Oryctolagus cuniculus: one gene and its partners. The protein of the gene in region 4 binds, or shares a complex with, the protein of the main gene of each other region. Links are inferred from orthologs where the notes say so. Each region holds a gene or a part of one and is shown on either strand. Other genes may lie near its edges. The genes, in order: GSK3B, SIAH1, DVL2 and AXIN1.

Evidence for each region.
Region 1: the proteins of AXIN1 (region 4) and GSK3B are in contact, whole or in part, in a crystal structure (PDB 4B7T), measured with the Homo sapiens proteins. The link is inferred for Oryctolagus cuniculus from reciprocal best matches to the Homo sapiens genes AXIN1 and GSK3B. Residues at the interface, in NP_003493.1 of Homo sapiens: Glu384, Pro385, Gln386, Phe388, Ala389, Glu391, Leu392, Ile393, Arg395, Leu396, Glu397, Val399, Gln400; in NP_001139628.1 of Homo sapiens: Ile228, Phe229, Val263, Asp264, Leu266, Val267, Ile270, Lys271, Asn287, Tyr288, Phe291, Lys292, Phe293, Pro294, Gln295, Ile296.
Region 2: the proteins of AXIN1 (region 4) and SIAH1 are in contact, whole or in part, in a crystal structure (PDB 5WZZ), measured with the Homo sapiens proteins. The link is inferred for Oryctolagus cuniculus from reciprocal best matches to the Homo sapiens genes AXIN1 and SIAH1. Residues at the interface, in NP_003493.1 of Homo sapiens: Pro378, Lys379, Glu380, Val381, Arg382, Val383, Glu384, Pro385, Gln386, Lys387; in NP_003022.3 of Homo sapiens: Cys130, Pro131, Ser154, Thr156, Leu158, Asp162, Ile163, Val164, Phe165, Leu166, Ala167, Thr168, Asp169, Val176, Asp177, Trp178, Val179, Met180, Asn272.
Region 3: the proteins of AXIN1 (region 4) and DVL2 are in contact, whole or in part, in a crystal structure (PDB 6JCK), measured with the Homo sapiens proteins. The link is inferred for Oryctolagus cuniculus from reciprocal best matches to the Homo sapiens genes AXIN1 and DVL2. Residues at the interface, in NP_003493.1 of Homo sapiens: Arg821, Tyr823, Lys825, Lys826, Glu830, Phe831, Val835, Val836, Phe837, Glu838, Glu839, Lys857, Glu859, Asp862; in NP_004413.1 of Homo sapiens: Lys15, Ile17, Tyr18, Glu23, Glu24, Thr25, Pro26, Tyr27, Leu28, Val29, Val46, Leu47, Gln48, Arg49, Pro50, Phe81, Arg84.

Annotation. Positions count from the first base shown.
Region 1 is NC_091435.1:76,548,017-76,552,038, reverse strand, and holds the start of GSK3B (glycogen synthase kinase-3 beta), read left to right. Parts: upstream 1-1,218; 5' UTR 1,219-1,269; coding exon 1,270-1,357; intron 1,358-4,022. Other genes in the region: transcription factor SOX-4, read right to left, coding at 1-857. UniProt on the Homo sapiens protein: Constitutively active protein kinase that acts as a negative regulator in the hormonal control of glucose homeostasis, Wnt signaling and regulation of transcription factors and microtubules, by phosphorylating and inactivating glycogen synthase (GYS1 or GYS2), EIF2B, CTNNB1/beta-catenin, APC, AXIN1, DPYSL2/CRMP2, JUN, NFATC1/NFATC, MAPT/TAU and MACF1.
Region 2 is NC_091449.1:32,126,240-32,130,460, reverse strand, and holds the start of SIAH1 (E3 ubiquitin-protein ligase SIAH1), read left to right. Parts: upstream 1-1,398; 5' UTR 1,399-1,515; intron 1,516-2,095; exon of another isoform or gene 2,096-2,519; intron 2,520-4,221. UniProt on the Homo sapiens protein: E3 ubiquitin-protein ligase that mediates ubiquitination and subsequent proteasomal degradation of target proteins.
Region 3 is NC_091448.1:51,839,452-51,843,571, forward strand, and holds the start of DVL2 (segment polarity protein dishevelled homolog DVL-2), read right to left. Parts: upstream 2,849-4,120; 5' UTR 2,628-2,848; coding exon 2,434-2,627; intron 376-2,433; coding exon 306-375; intron 1-305. Other genes in the region: PHF23 (PHD finger protein 23), read right to left, coding at 3,867-4,081.
Region 4 is NC_091450.1:34,296,387-34,300,369, reverse strand, and holds the start of AXIN1 (axin-1), read right to left. Parts: upstream 2,848-3,983; 5' UTR 2,777-2,847; coding exon 1,899-2,776; intron 1-1,898. UniProt on the Homo sapiens protein: Component of the beta-catenin destruction complex required for regulating CTNNB1 levels through phosphorylation and ubiquitination, and modulating Wnt-signaling.

The DNA of each region.
Region 1 (4,022 bases), on a different chromosome or scaffold from region 4:
ATCGGCTTTTTCCGGGAGGAGCCGTAAAGAAACGACGCCCGTGATTGGCTTCGCTGGGGGTTCGGCTCCGCCGCCGAAGAGGGCGGGCGTTGGGCTCGGCCGGCGATTCCCAGACGCCTGTTACGCGGGCGGCGGGGCGCGGGGCGGTATAAGGCTGGGTGGGGGAGGAAGGAGGCGGAGGACGAGTAGGAGGCGGGGAGAGGGAGGGGGAGGGGGGAAGGCGCTAGGCGGCTGCGCAGACGGAGCTCCTCACACAGAGCAGCCCCCGACCCGGGCGAATGCGGGTTTGTGCTGCCGCTGCCGCTGCCGCCGCCGCCGCCCGGGCCGAGTGACAAAGGAAGGAAGGAAGCGAGGAGGAGCCGGCCCCGCAGCCGCTGACAGGGCTCCGGACTGGGGGCACAGCACGGACACTTCCTCAGCGGACACGGAGCTGAGGCGCGGGGCGTGAGGGCGGCCGCGCTGGTGCTTTGGACGGGGGAGGGGGCCCCGAGGGAGACGGAAGCGGTTGCCGGGTTCCCATGTCCCCGGCGTATGGGGAGCAGTCGAGGAGCCGCTGCCTGGGGTCTGAAGGGAGCTGCCTCCGCCACCGCCGCCGCCATGGCCGCTGGATCCAGCCGCCGCCTGCAGCTGCTCCTGGCGCAATGAGGAGAGGAGCCGCCGCCGCCGCCCGCCTCTGACTGACTCGCGACGCCGCCGCCCTCCAGGACGCCGGGCCCCCGCCGGATCCCGCCGCTGCCGGAGCCGCAGCGTTTCCCGTCGCATCTCCGAGCCGCCCCCTCCCTCTCCCTCCCTCCTTCCCATCCCCCCTTCTCTTCAAGCGTGAGACTCGTGATCCTTCCGCCGCTTCCCTTCTTCATTGACTCGGAAAAAAATCCCCGAGGAAAATATAAAATCCAAAGTACTTATTTTCAATCAAGTATTTGTCCCCATTTCACGTGATTTTTTTTAAGGAGTCCCCCCTCCCAGGAAAGGGAGGGGAAAGAATTGTGTTTTTTTTTTCCCCTCCCCCAGCCCCAAATCATCTATATGTTAAATATCCGTACGGATCCGTCTTGAAGGAGAATACATCGCTCGTGTTTTTTTTTTTTTTTTTTTTTTTTTTAATATAGCTATACAAAAGAAGTGAAAAGCCAAGAGGACGAAGTCTTTTTTTTTCCTTTCTTGTGGGAGAACTTAATGCTGCATTTATCATTAACCTAACACCCCAATATAAAACAAAAGGAAGAAAAGGAGGAAGGAAGGAAAAGGTGATTCGGGAAGAGAGTGATCATGTCAGGGCGGCCCAGAACCACCTCCTTTGCGGAGAGCTGCAAGCCAGTGCAGCAGCCTTCAGCTTTTGGCAGCATGAAAGTTAGCAGTGAGTATTGATTTTATTTTACACCCCTTCTCCGTCTCACCCCTAAAATAAGCAACCTCGAAGTCCTAGAACCTTAACATACTAGACCTGATGGAACACTCACCAGAGCTAATGGAAAAGAGCAAGACCTGTCTTCAGTCGAGGATGAGGCAGCTCCCTCTTTTCTCCTCCCATAACCCCCTCCCTCGGTCTCATTAACCTTGAGTTCAGAGAGTACGATTTTTATTTCGATGATTCGATTTGAAACGTTTCTTGTGCTTTCCTTGCTACTGATGGTCGCCTTTATCCAGTGCTTGGGTGTTTCCACTTGGAAATTGTGATGGAAGCGTTTGCTTGCCGACCCTTTTGAATAAAGAGGACTAAACGACTCATAAACCATTATGTGCATTTGCAGAGTGTTTGTCTTTTGGAACGAGGGAGGAAATTCTGGTTAGCTCAAGTCTCGGGTTATCACAGCTTTGTGTACTTCATGGAGACATGAAATGTCCCAGTCTCCTAACGTTTCTCTTCGTGCTGGTGTAACTATACAAAGTATTTGTTCTTAACCTGGGGATGAACTTGCTCAGTAACCAGCATTCATGTGTGGAGGTGATCATCGCTCCCTCCCTTTACAAGGGGCTGATGGGAACAGATAAATATCCAGCAGCAGTAGCATCTCCAAATACATTGTCTTGAATTGGATAAGTGGTTTAATCTGTTATCTCTTAACCTTCCTGTTTTGGCATTACCAATCTGCCACCATATAATTTGTTTAATCAAAAGGTAACTTGGAAGGAGGTCCAAGTTTTGATTGAGGCGTATGTTGTCATAATGCCAGATACTAAGTTAAATGTTAATTGTCACTGACTCATTGTCATTTAAGTTCAATTTTGACGTGCTGTTGCATTTGTTACTTGTTAAAATATTCTAGAGTACAGAGGATTCCTTTTTAGGAATACTTAAAATATCCTTGCATCAGTTTTCTTGTAGATAAGATTGAATTTAGTTAGAGGAACATAGATTTAGTCCTTTCCATCATAGTTTTTGCAGAAGGTTGTCCTTCTGGAAATGGTAGGGCTGTCTGGGATGTGGTCTCAGGGTTGTTACCAGACTGTACTTTCACAAAGTCTGTTTTCTTGAGGTGTTTGTTATACTAAGTATCCAGTGATCCCACAGAGCTCTGTTTGTGAAGGGGTTTGTGTGGCAATTAATGGCAGGTTATTTAAATATACTTCCAGATTTTGACAAAAAAAAATGTTTATATTGTTTCCTTATTCTCTGAGAAAGGGGCATGAAGAGGGCAAACTATTTTGTTGCCTAGAGGAGCTAAGAGAACTGAAGAGCCTTAAACAGTAGATTCTGTTATGTGGACTTGATTACATCCTTAAGCAATATAAAATGTTTACTTTTAATTGAACTCAAGATTCCAATCACTTTGGCTTTTGGAACTTGCCTGAAACAGGATAGTCCAAGGTAATAGCTGAATGGGAGATTATTTTTGAGTTAATTTTTTTTTCAGTGACTAGCTAGTAGAGAATGCAGAGTATGTAAAGAGGGAAGCTGATTATGCATCTTTTTAGAGAAGGGTCATGCTTTCTAAGCCCTTCATGGGGTCATTTGAAAGAAGTTTTTTATTCTGGGGGTAATTTTTAGCTATGATGAAGCAAATATTACAATAGCTAATTAAGAGCCTCTTGTGATACTGCAGTGATTGTATGTTTTACATCTTGGTAATAATTAAAAAACACTGAAAGTCAGTTTTAGGAATATAATTATTAGATGTATTTCAGAGATCTATAATGCTAGTGTATAATGCTAAATTCTGGGATTTTATATTTTGTTTCTAGGATTTTCTTTGAAGATGACTCCTTAATTCTTGATGGCATACATGTTGACCAAGAATGGTGTGATTTTTGTAAAGTATGTAGGTTAAAATGTTTGATTTTCTGTTATCATGTCCTTCAACTTAATATTTAAAAAGTTGGAATTTATTGCTGAATATGCATTTTTGATAAGCCTAGCTTTAGGGATATTTAGAAGAAAGGGGAGTCATTAGGCATTTGTTAGGTGCTGGTGTTTTCAGGACCCATGTTCAAAAGAGATACATATGAAATTATAGTCCTTGGCTTCAAAAAAAGCTGGTCACTTAGTAGTAGAGGCAATTTATGGGAAAAACAATGAAAACAATGGCATTACGACTGCAAGGCAAAATACAAATTGAATCCTTTGTTCAGAGGGACAAAGAATAAAGGGGTGAGACATGCATTGGAGGGAGAAGGCTTCCTGTAGAGAAGGTGTGCTTTTAAGACAGGTGTTAAAGAAGGCTGTGTCTTGAATTGGTGGAGAAGCATGAAAGATTCTAGGTGAAAGGACTCCAGGCACAGAGATGGTGAGTTTTGTAGGAGAGGCAATAAATAAGCTGGTAAATCTGAATTATAAAAGCCTAAGTAGGAAAATAACAGGTAAAATTTGAGAAATATTGGAAGGATAGCTGACAGAGGGCAAGGGGTCTGAAAAAGTTTGACATTCATGAGAGCTCTGAACAGTTTTTTTTTTTTATAAACTTTATTTATTTTAATTTTATTGGAAAGGCAGAGAGACAGATCTTCTCATCTGCTGCTTCACTCCACAAATGGTCACAACAGCCAGGGCTGGACCAGGCCTAAGGCAGGAGCTGGAACTCAGT
Region 2 (4,221 bases), on a different chromosome or scaffold from region 4:
CCTTTTTTCCTAGCTGAAGTGAGACATTTATGAGATTTATCGATGTTGGTGCCTCCCCAGATTGTATATAGCCCATGAATGGGGGAGGGGCCGCTGTGTTCTCAGAACCTAGCATGGTGCCTGGTATTTGGTAGAATGAATGAATGAGAGCAAAACAGGCCACCCCACTTGGTGACAGAACATCTCCGAGCAGATGAAAGCAGCGACCAGTAACTGCTTGGAGGGACCGGACTCACCCACCTGGACCCCTGACTTGCCGGCTTTGGGGACCAGCTCCCTCAAGAAACGCTGTGTGGGTGTTATGTGCTCCTGGTCCCAGAGGGAGCGAGCAGCCAGTCAGCGCAATACTGGGCGGGGAACACGAGCAGAACTCAGCACAGGTGCAGGCCACACGTTGGTGCAGGGCACTGGAGTTCGCGTGCCTTTGGCTGGGCAGCGCTGGCACGGAAACCCGCCCCCGAGAGAGGCTTGCCCCGACGATGGCGACCGTGGGCCAGTCCCTGGCGCCTCAAACCCCGCACGAAAAGTCCCGTTTCCTACAGACTTCGCACGGAGAGCCAATCGGGATTTGTACACGTTTCAGACTTATTGCACCCACCAGAGCCTTGCAAATGACGCTTTCCTTACTGCTTTATGTGAGGAGGAGGAGGAATGCAGAGGCCCCCACAGGGGACTTCGCCGCTGCGTGAGAACGCCTCCGCTGAGACACGGAAGGGCGGCCCACACCCAGGGCCAAGGCGTGGACCTCGTCCCCTGGAGGGTGGGGTCCCGGCGGGTGGCCGTATGCTTTCCCCGTGGAGGCGCTGCGCGAAACCCGCACACAAAACAGAAGGAGCCATAAATAGCAGCAGGCAGCCCTGCCAGGGGCGGCAGCCAGCCCCGGGCTAGCATTCCGGCGGGGCGCGGGACGACCCCTCGGGCCCTGGAACAAAGCCCCGCGGGGGTGGGCGCGGAACGGGTGCCCCGCACCAGCCGCCCGTGAGCCCGTCTTTCGCCCGGCCGGTGGCGGCGGAGAGCGTGACGCGACGGGGCGTGTGTCGGGCGTTCAGCGCGCAGCTCAGCGCTGGTAACGGAGGAGCCGCGGCGCCGGCTGCCACCCCGCGAGCCCTGCACGCCGAGGCCCGCGCGCGCAGCTGCCGGTCGCGCCGGCGCCTCTGCGCCTGCGCGCCCGCGGAAGCCCCGCCCCCTCCGGGCTCCCAGCGCGCGGGGCCGCGCCTCCTCATGGCGGCCGCCGCAGTGTGTGGTATTTAGCGGGGGCGCGCGGCGCGCTCGAGGACGCGCGAAACGGCGGCGGCGGCGGCGGCCAGGGGGGGAGCCGGGGCGGCCGTTGCGGGGCGCGCTCTCGAGCGGTGGCGGCGGTGGCGGCGGCGGCGGCGGCGGCGGCGGCGGCGGCCCAGGGTGTCCGGTGTGTCTCGGCGCTGGGAAGAGACGGTGGCGCTGCCCGCGGTGGCGGGGGTTGGCGACGGAGCGCGTTTGAGCCAGGACTGGGGTCCGAGGCGCGCTCTCCGCCCACAGGTAAGTGGGGCCCGGCCTGGAGGGAGGAGCCGGCGGCGAGGGGCTCTCCGGGAGGAGGGTTCCCGGGCCCGATAATGGCGGCGGGCGGCGGGGCCGGGGTGCGGGCGGCCCCCGGCGCCGCGGCGTCTTTGTCTCGGCCGGAGCCGGGCCGCTGGGCCGAGCGCCGCCCCCCGCCCCTCCCCTGCCCGCCGTCGCCGCGGCCGCGGCCGCCGCGCCGAGCCGGCTCCCCCCGCCCCCGGCGCCCGGGCCGTCCCGGTGGGGCCGCGGCGGGGGTCGGTCCGGGGGAGGCGCCCCGGCTGGGCCCCCGCGCGCCGGGGAGGCGGGCCCGGCCGGGGGAGGCGCCCGGCGCGCCCAGCGCCCTCGTGCCGGCCTTTGTTGTGGAGGGTCCCGGGGTGTGCGGCCAACATGGCGGAGGTCAGCTGAGTGCGGGCAGCGGCCAGCCCTGCCCTCCGGCCCCTCCCCGCGGCGCGCCGGGCCGCTCGGCCGTCCTTGGCCTCGGCTCGGTGCGCCCGACCCCGGCGGGAGCCGTCGCCGATGGTTCTGCGCGCTTCCTCTGGCTCTGGCCCGAGGCTTCGTCGTGCAGTGGGAAGAATGCAGCCTCCTCCCTTGTTTACGTCGTTGGAGAGGGGAGCGCCCGGCCAGCCGGCCGGGGCAGCGCCAGCTTTTCAGTGCAGACCTTGTTTTCCCTCGGCTTCACGTGCTGCGTAGTTGCAGGTCCCTCCTTGACTCTGCCGGGCTTATAACTTAGGGAAGCGGGTACCCGGCCACAGCGATGCATAGGTTTTTTCTTTGCCGCCTGCCCGCTCCTGGAAGAATGTGTTTGCGCTGACATTCGGAAAAGTCCAGCTGGCGTGCTGGGAAAATCAGATTGAGTGGTTGATGGTTGTAGTCACAGAAGGCGTGCACATGGATGTAGGACCGTGGTCTGCCTGTTTCCGGCAGTCGAACCTTGACCATTGCGTGATAAGCGGCTGTCAAGAGTACATTCTTAACTCTTCTCCGCAGTTGAGTGTCTGGGATACAGACTTTGTAGTCCGACTCTGCCTGCTTGGGTTCCAGTCGTGCTCCACCGGTTTCTGACCTTGGGCGATATGCCTAATCCCTCAGTGCTACTTTTTTCTTACCTGCAACTGGGAGTCATGACAGCGCTTACCTGGGGCATGTGTTGAGAGTTGTTGGGAGAGGGTACCTGGTGGGGTGATCCTTAGCTGAGCACTTAGTGTGGTGGCAGGTCCATAGCAAGGGCTCTGCACACACTCACCGCTAAGGTTTAATAACAAACAAGGTTATCTTGGCAGCGTGGATGTGTTGGAAGTGCCTTGACCGGAGTTGGGGATTCATGCTATAACTCATCAGCGCTTGGGTTTTTCTTCTGCTGTATTTCGCTGTCAAAAAGGAAAAGAAGAGGTTTAGATGGTAAATTGACAGGCCCTCTGGGACTTGACGTTTTGGGAATTTCTATGCTAAGGCATTTTGAACGACTAGATCTTTTGTGGTCTGCGATTTAACCAAGTGGATCAAAATGTGATTTCCACTGGGCAATTTTCGATTTAAGGATTGATTTACTTTCAAGGGCTTGAGTTAACTGACTTGGCAAACTGGGGCACCGAGTTCCTTTAACTGAGTGTTAGGTGTCTGTGGTGTCACCATCTCTTTTAGAAGTTACTGAGGAGCACAGTGCAATTCGGTGACACATGTAACGGTCCGGTAGCCTCATCAGGGAGATTCTGCTTCCGGGTCCGATGGAGAGGACTGCCGATAGCGCTGAGAGAACTCTGATGGATGCCCAGACTGAGTGCACGCCCAGATTGCTTGTGTTAGGTTTTCATGGAAAATGTAAACAGAGAGACTTTGGTATCGAGAAAGGTTATTTTTTCCTCAAAGTATACTTTGTCAAAATTTTTTTCTTTATGTGTATCATAAGATTACATTAAATGATCCTTTTTGGCACATTTCCAGCACAATTCAGTAACATTTAATAATTCTTTAAACAGAAATAGAGTGTAATTAAAGATAAAAACTATTTTTCTTAAGATTTATTTATTTGAAAGGCAGAGTTTCAGAGAGGAGAGACGGAGAGAGAGGTCTTCCATCCCCAGGTCTGCTCCCCAGATGGCTGCAACAGCTGGGGCAGGACTTAGCCAAAGCCAGGAGTCAGGAGCTTGCTCAAGGTCTTCCATGTGGGTGCAAGGGCCCAAGCACTTGGGCCATCTTCCACTGTTTTCCCAGGCTCATTAGCAGGGAGCTGGATCCGAATTGGAGCAGACAGGACACAAACTAATGCTCATAGGGCTGCTTAACCTTTTATGCCACAATGCTGGCCCTGTATTTTTAAAGCTAAGTGTCTCATGGGGGCTGGCGCTGTGGTACAGCAGGTTAACGCCCTGGCCTGAAGCGCTGGCATCCCATATGGGCGCTGGTTCTAGTCCCAGCTGCTCCTCTTCTGATCCAGCTCTCTGCTATGGCCTGGGAAAGCAGTAGAAGATGGCCCAAGTGCTTGGGCCCCTGCACCCACGTGGGAGACCTGGAAGAAGTTCCTGCCTCCTGGCTTTGGATCAGCTCAGCTCTGGCCGTTGTGGCCAACTGGGGGGTGAACCAGCGGGTGGAAGACCTCTCTCTACCTCTCTCTGTAACTCTTTCAAATAACTAAAATAAATCTTAAAAAAAAAGCTAAGTGTCTCCAAAGTAAAAACAGATCTAATCAAT
Region 3 (4,120 bases), on a different chromosome or scaffold from region 4:
GTCTCTCTCTCTCACTGCCCACTCTGTCAAAAAAAAAAAAAAAAAAAAGTAATAATAACTTTATTTTGACGCATGCCCACGCACCCTGTTTTGAAGCCCACGCATCCTTTTCTCATACTATGCATTTCCCATGAACGTTTTTGAAGCCCCCTCATGGCAGAGGCTCCAGAAGAAAGCCGAGGAGCTCCCACTGGCTCTCCAAACAGGGAGGGAGGCAAAGGGCCAGGGCAATGACTGGGCAGGGAGAGGCTACAGACAGATGAGGCTGGGAGCAGCCTGGGAACCCAGAGGGAATGGGCCCTTACCCAGGATACCACCCTTCCGTTGAAGCAGGGCAGGCGGGCATTGTCATCTGAAATTTCTTCCTTCACCACCCTGCCGGGAGACAGGACGAGGTCAGCGAGGCTGGGTCAGCCACCCCCGCCGCCAGCTTCTCCGTCTTCACCCAGCTCAAGGATGCCGGCCACCCCCTGCCTCGTTCCCCCTCTCTCCTAGGGAAACAACCTCCAAACCCCACTCCCACCACGTTTCGCCTGCTCGCCCCAGCTGGCCCTCAGGGGCAATGCTGCTCCAAAGACTTCCTGCAGCATGACTGGAAGGCCAACCCCTGTGGTTACCTGGTTGCCAGTGAGCCTTGCTGGTAGCCGTCCCCAAACCCAGCCCTGTTCCGTACACACCTTCCCCAACCTCATACAAGCTTCTACTCTCCCACTTCCCTTTAGTTTTTTCTAATCCACTTCCAGAGAGTGGTCCAGATGTGCTGTCTTTGTCAGGGGACAAAAGCCCATTAGAGGAACCAACAGCATCTCCTTAGGCTGAGAGCTGGGAAGAAGAGAGGAAGCCAGGCTTCCCGTTCCCCTGTGCCTCCCCTGGAAGAACTCTGCTCTCAACAACATGCTGGGTCTCAAGACCCCAAAGCCCCACCAGCTCCCCTGTGTTCCCTGTAGTGGACTGGACTTGCCCCCCTTTCTTCTCAACCACCCCTTGCAATCAGCAGCACCCATTCTGTTGTACACCACGCCCTGACCACGCAGCATTAACACTTGTTGACTAAACAAACAAAACACACAAACCAATAGATTCTCTGGTTTCTCCTCTGTCTCACAAACACACCCTCTCCCCTCCCCAAATCAGAACATCTTGTCTGATTAACCCTTTAGCCTAATATGCCTCTGGGAGTGTGTATATACACCAACTGAATCCATTTGCTAGTTATGTGACAACAGGGCCCAGCCACTACCAATCTGTTTCAGTGTAATTAGTGTTCTCCCAATATAACCCATCTTGGCACAGCTCAACCCACTCCACGGCAGGCTATTCTGTATCACCACAACCGAGTTTGTGGACCTGTGGGCCTCAATGCCAAGGACAACGATGACCACGCCCCAAGAGTTTCCCATGTGCCAAGCGCGGGAACTAAGCATTTCACTCTGTGATTATCTCAAATGTGAGAAAAATCAACGCACAAAGGTAAATGAAATTGCCCAAGATTACACTGCTGACCAATCCAAGAGCTTTGATTTAAGCCCAAGATAACTCCCAAGACAACTGTCACTCTCCCCACGCTGAACGACCTTTTTAGGCAGAGTCCAGTTTGTTCCGTCCCCCTAAAATCCAAGCCATCAACACAATCTAGCCAGCCAGTGAAACAACTGAGCAGTCAAAACAAGAGTGGTCATTCCCCAAAGTGAGAAAAACAAAAGGGCTTCGAATATGTTATTTACAGTCCCAGTCAAGTCCAGGAATCCCCAAATTACCCCAGGATAGCCCAATCTATTCTAGCACAGCCTACAACGTCCCTGCATGCAGCTGTCTGCACCAATATAGACTAGACTATCCCAATACAGCTGTCTGTATTAGCAAAAGCCCCAACAGCCTTATCTGCCCTGTACTAAGTGCCCCGATGCGTGCCGAAGAAGAGTTATTAGGTTAGGATCAACCAAGAGACCAGAATGACCCCAGCCCGTCCAGTAGCCCACTCCAAGGCAGCCTAGAACACCGCAACTTTTTTTTTTTTTTTTTTTTTGCATTAGCATGCATACACTCCATGGAGTCCCCAAACAATCCTGTCTCTGCCACAACGTTCCAACTGCCGCCAACACAAGCCCGGCTATGTCAAGAGACTGCAGGCTGTCTCCACACAAGCTGTGTGCTACAGGAAAACGCTCAGTCCCGACCACCCCAAAACCAACCTGCGCGCCCCCACCTATTCCATATGGCCCAATCTTCTCCACTTTATCGCTCCGTGTGCATCCATCTGTCCAGGCATAACCTTGTCCGTCCTGGGACGGCCACTCTGCCTCAGTGTGGCACAATCCGATCCACTGAAGGCCAGAAAACCCGTGTAACCCAGAGCAGACCCGTGCCCCCTGCAGAACGCCCCATCCGTGCGGGTACAGCCCCCGTCAGTCCCAGGCTAGGCCTCGCGCTCACCCGAAATCCTGATCCATGGACTTGAAAAAGTACTTAGCACCCGCGGGCCGCTGCAGAACGCTCTTGAAGTCTCCAAGGGTGATGCGCTCGGCGGGGACTGGGATCTTCACCAGGTAGGGAGTCTCCTCCTCATCCAGGTGGTAAATCACCTTCGTCTCCCCGACGCCTCCGCCCCCCGTGCTGCTGCCCGCCATGGTCTCGCCCGCGCGCTCCCGGGCTCCGCCGCCCACCCAGTGGGGCTATCTGCGGCCCGCCGCGCCTGCGCACACTCGAACCCCGACCGGAGCGCGGACGCGACAGAGCCAGTGTGGGCGTGGGGCAGCGGGGAGGCGGCGGGGTGCGGCAGGGTGGCGGGCCGCGCGACGCGCCCCGGAGCGGCGCACTCAGCCGCCGCGCGCCACCGCCGCCGACGTCGCGAGCGCCCTCCAGGGCCCCGCCCACCTCGCCTCATGTCACGTGGCCCGAGCCCGCCCACCTCGCGCTCCCTGCACCGCCCTTCGCCACGTGACCCCTCCGCCATCACGTGACTACTCGGCTCCTCCCAGCGCTCCCTCCACGTGACCGCTGCCTTCAGCAACGGTCTCCCAGCCCCGACCCACTCCGCCCCCGAGCGTATCCCCCACCGGAGGTCCTCCCGGCTGGCACCGTGTCCTGGGGACCTCCGTCTTCGGGGTGGGGGGCGCCCTGCGCCGTCCGGGCGGGAACGCGAAGCGACTGCGCACGACCGTCCGTGCAGGAGCAGCGGGACCGCGGGCGCGCGTGGAGGGAAGAAGCCGACGGAGCCCCTGGGGTTGTGTCCCGGCGCGGGAAGGCCCGGACGCCGAGGTGGGTTTGTGCCCTGCGGCCAGCTCCCCCAGAGCCTCCCCCCAAGCAGGACAGTCAGGGAGGGCTAGAAACACAAAGAGCCCACTCTGCTTTATTTACAACACGCAGGCTGTCTGTACAAACGGCTGGCCAGTAGTAAAAACAAGAGGTGCGTGAGGACCGTCACCTTGCCGCTCTCCTTGCTCGCTTGGCCAGGCTCACTCCACCTCTGAGCCGCCACGCTCGAAAGAGGAAGTCCAACATTAAAAATACAACCGGTGTAGAAGAAAATAAATTGGGAGTAAAATAAAAGATGAGGGAGGGGAATGCTATATTTACACTAGAGTTTATAGACAGCTGTCCCAGTCCATCCCAATTCCAACCCTGGCAGGTCCAAGATGCTGCATCCGGGGCCCCCGACAGCCTCCCACGCCCAACGCAACGTCCACTCCAGTCCACAGGCTGGGGAGGGAGGGGAGGGAGGGACCGTGAGACTCATTTCCGAAGTCTGCCTTGGGCGTTCCTGCCTTGAAGCGGGGACCACATCCAGACTCCAGGGGATGGGCTGAAGCCCCCGAGGCTCAGTTCCCGAATCGTCACTTGCCAGTTCCAGCCTGGAGTTGGCAGTGTCAGGGCTCTCCAGATTTGGGAAGCCCCCCTAACCGCCGCGCCTCAGGCCGCAGTTCCTTGCATTTCTGGCAATAAAAGAAGTCAGGGACATTGGTCTTCTTAATCTTAGCACAGGAGAGGTGGATCCACGTCCCACATAGGCTGCACTCGATCATGGGCCGCCCTGCGAAGGGCTTCCGGCAGTAACACGTGATCAGGTCCCATGAGTCATCACCTGGGGAAAGAAGGTTTGCTGGATGTCCTGCCTGTGCTC
Region 4 (3,983 bases):
ACCTCCAATCCAGCTCTCTGCTAATGCCCGCGGGAAAGCACGGAACGTGGTCCACGTGCTTGGCCCCTGCACCCATGTGGGAGACCAGGATGAGACTCCCGGCTCCTGACTCAGCTCACCTAGTTCTGGTAGTTGTGGACACGTGAGGAGTGAACCAGCAGACGGAAGATCTCTCTCTCCCTCTCTATCTCTGACTTTCAAATAAATAAATCTTCAAAACAAAAAAAGTTTAAACCTTAGAAATGCTTAGTGCTGTTTTATCAGAAAGCAGCCGACTCCTCTGTCCCAGTGCAGAGAGGAGAGCTGGTCCAGTGCACGGCAACTGCACGGGCAGCCGCGACACTAAGGGGCGTGTCCTCCGAGTTCTGTCTAGATCAGCAGGGGCCACCCAAGCTCCAAGCTGTCAACGCTGCGCAGGTGCCAGCTCCTGGGGACAGGGGGGAAGCGCAAGAACTCTGCTCCCAGGAGGAACACACACCAGCAGCAGCCCAACGGCTCCCTGTAATCACGGAGGGTCACGGGAAAAAAGAAAAGCCGCGGTTCCAAAGCTCTAACACTGGGGACGCCCCAGGTGTCCACACAGGCGGGAACAGTCCAGACACCGCGGGTGCCCTCACCCATGGGAGAACACAGGCGGGAACAGTCCAGACACCGTGGGTGCCCTCACCCATGGGAGAACACAGGAGGGAACAGTCCAGACACCCGTGGGTGCCCTCACCCATGGGAGAACACAGGAGGGAACAGTCCAGAGACACCGTGGGTGCCCTCACCCATGGGAGAACACAGGCGGGGACAGTCCAGACACCGTGGGTGCCCTCACCCATGGGAGAACACAGGCGGGGACAGTCCAGACACCGTGGGTGCCCTCACCCATGGGAGAACACAGGCGGGGACAGTCCAGACACCGTGGGTGCCCTCACCCATGGGAGAACAGAGGCGGGAACAGTCCAGACACCGCGGGTGCCCTCACCCATGGGAGAACACAGGAGGGAACAGTCCAAAGACACCCGTGGGTGCCCTCACCCATGGGAGAACACAGGCGGGGACAGTCCAGAGACACCGTGGGTGCCCTCACCCATGGGAGAACACAGGCGGGGACAGTCCAGACACCGTGGGTGCCCTCACCCATGGGAGAACACAGGCGGGGACAGTCCAGACACCGTGGGTGCCCTCACCCATGGGAGAACACAGGCGGGGACAGTCCAGACACCGTGGGTGCCCTCACCCATGGGAGAACACAGGCGGGGACAGTCCAGACACCCGTGGGTGCCCTCACCCATGGGAGAACACAGGCGGGAACAGTCCAGACACCGTGGGTGCCCTCACCCATGGGAGAACAGCCAAGGTCACCCCCTGGGTACTGTGAACTCTGCGCCTCCCAGCAGCACTGCCATGTCAGGCAGGCAGAGATCTGACCCTGCGGCTCCAGCCACAGCTGCAGAAGTCTTCAGAGGACCTGGCAACCCCCCACACAAAGGTCTCAGCACTGTTCCTGGCCTCTAGGGAGCACCTCAGCACGCCACTATCGCGGGGAATGATCCAGAATTCCCCAGCTACCAGTGCATTCAGACGGCCACTCCTCCCTTTACCAAGCCGAAGCACGAGACCCACCCGGTAAGCCCCCAGGACTTCAGAGCGGTGGGTCTCAGTGCAGGTGTCAGCAGTAGTGCTCACGACCTCCACACCCAGGCTTCTTATCTGTTCTTGATCAAGGCGTTCTGGACAACACGACCATAAAAACCGCTACTGAACGTGCAAGTACCACGCGTCAGAATCAGAGTCCTAAGTCAGCCCCAAGGGCAGCCGGGCACTCAGCCCACTGGTCGCCCACACCTTGCCCTTGCCCGCTCTCCAGGTCTCAGGCGAGGACCGAAAAGGGACACCTGGTGCCCACTCACCTGAACTCTCTGCCTTCGCTGTACCGTCTCCCTGAGGAGGCCCTCGGGGCAGCCGTCTCCATGAGCAGCTTCTGGGTGAGCCTGCTGGGAGGCGCCGCGTCCCGCGCTTCCTCCTCGTCCGTGTCCTGGTCACACTTCCACTCCTCGTCTTCATTCAGAGTGGGCAGGTATCCAGACAGGCCCTTCCCTGTGCCTGACCCAGAGCTCTGGTCACTACAGACCTTTGGGCTCTCCGAGCCTGTCCTCGTGTACTCCAAATAAATGTCAGACTTGAGGAAGGAGGGGTAGGTGTTCTCCTCCATGGTGGCCTGGATCTCCGTCTGGGCCTGGTCGAACATGGCGGGGTCGACCTGCTGCCTCACGATGCAGTCCTTGATGAAGCTCTTGGTGGCCGGCTTGGTGTGCCTGGACACGATGCCAGTGCTGTCCAGGATGTACTTGCGGTAGATGGCTCTAGCCAGCTTCAGCCTCTTCTCCTCATTCGCATCGCAGGGCTCCAGCTTCCTGAAGCCACTGCAGGCAAACCAGAAGTCCAGAAGGTCAGCACAGCCCTCCTGCTTGAGGAAAGTCCTGAACAGGCTGATCCCGTCTTGATCGTCCAGCAGGGAGTGCAGGGACTCGGCCCACTTCAAGTATGGCGGCGTGGGAGACGCACTGCCCTCGGGCTCATACCCCAGGTCCAGATCCGAGCGCCTTGGAGTAGCCGTCGAAGTCTCAGCTTTAACGCCAGCAGCTTTGCCGGAGCAGAAGCTGTGGCTGGCGGGCCTCGGGTCTGTGGACACCAGTTCTCCCTCCTCCCCAGGCACCGGGGGCCGGGGGGCATCTTCGGTGAAACTTGCTCCGAGGTCCAGGGGGAAACCCTGCTCCTGGACGCTCATCGTGGGACTCTGTGCGGCAAGCGACAGCGAGCGCCGCCCCCTAAAGCATCCGTGCTCGCAGCTCGCGGTGAGTCAGGCCGTCCTGCGGGAACCAGAGAGGACGCGGGTTAGGAAAAGGTGGGCCCCCGCACACACGGCCGAGGGGCTCCCTCCAGACGAGACTGGCGATGACCCAAAGCCAGAAAGTCCGTGTACAGTTGAAACGGAGACACATTTTGGCCGCAAGGTTTGCTCCACATCAAAACAATCCCTGCAGACTCCTACAACCACAGGAACGCTTCTCATGCCAAGGGAGCACCCAGAGCACAGAGAACGCACTGCCTCCAGCAGCACTCTGAGCACCGCAGAGGCCCTCCGAGCGGGCCGAAGAGCTGAGTGAGCAGGAGGGCAGGAAGGCCGGTGGGGGGGGGGGGGGGGCTTTCAGGTGAGAGCTGGTCCCTCACACACCCGGGACAGTCACCCCAGTCAGACGACACGCAGATGAGAGGGGGAGCCCCGACACCCACTGCGGGGAGGCCGCTCTGGCTCCCACACCGGCCAGGCCCACAGCCAGGGTTCCTGCCTCCTGTTTCACCTCACACACGGGGGCCGTGCAGCACGTGCGAACAGACCGCAGGAGCAGCCGACCGGGGGTCACCTTCAGCACCACGAACCCGGGGATGGAAAACACCCCCCACGCACAGAGCAGCCTTCCCCACGCGGCCTCTCTCCTAAAAGACGCACTCAAGAGGCAGAGGGACAAGCAGGCAGAGGGCTCCCCTCTGCTGATTCACTCCTCAAACGCCCACAACGGCGGGGCCGGGGCCGGGGCCCGGCTGAAGCCAGAAGCTGGGGATTCAATCCAGTCTCCCACATGGACGGAAGGACACAACCTGGCACAACACTTGCTACCTCCCAGCGTCTGCGAAGACAGGAAGCTGGAATCAGAACTGGAGCTGGGAACAAGCAGACGCTCTGACACAGGACACCAGGCCATGTCTGCCCAGGAAATGCCCTCCTGACAGCAAACGGTACCCAGGGACCTCCGGGACAGAAACGATTTAGAAAAAAATGAAAGGCAAATGCAACTGCACTGCTAAGGAACCATGCAACTCACAGGACAACTCTAGAGCAACACCAAGCACTCAGCCCCTTGGAGGCCGGGGAACTGCGAGTTTTGGGTGCTGCGCCCACAAGGGACACGCAGACTTTGCTAGATCATGACACA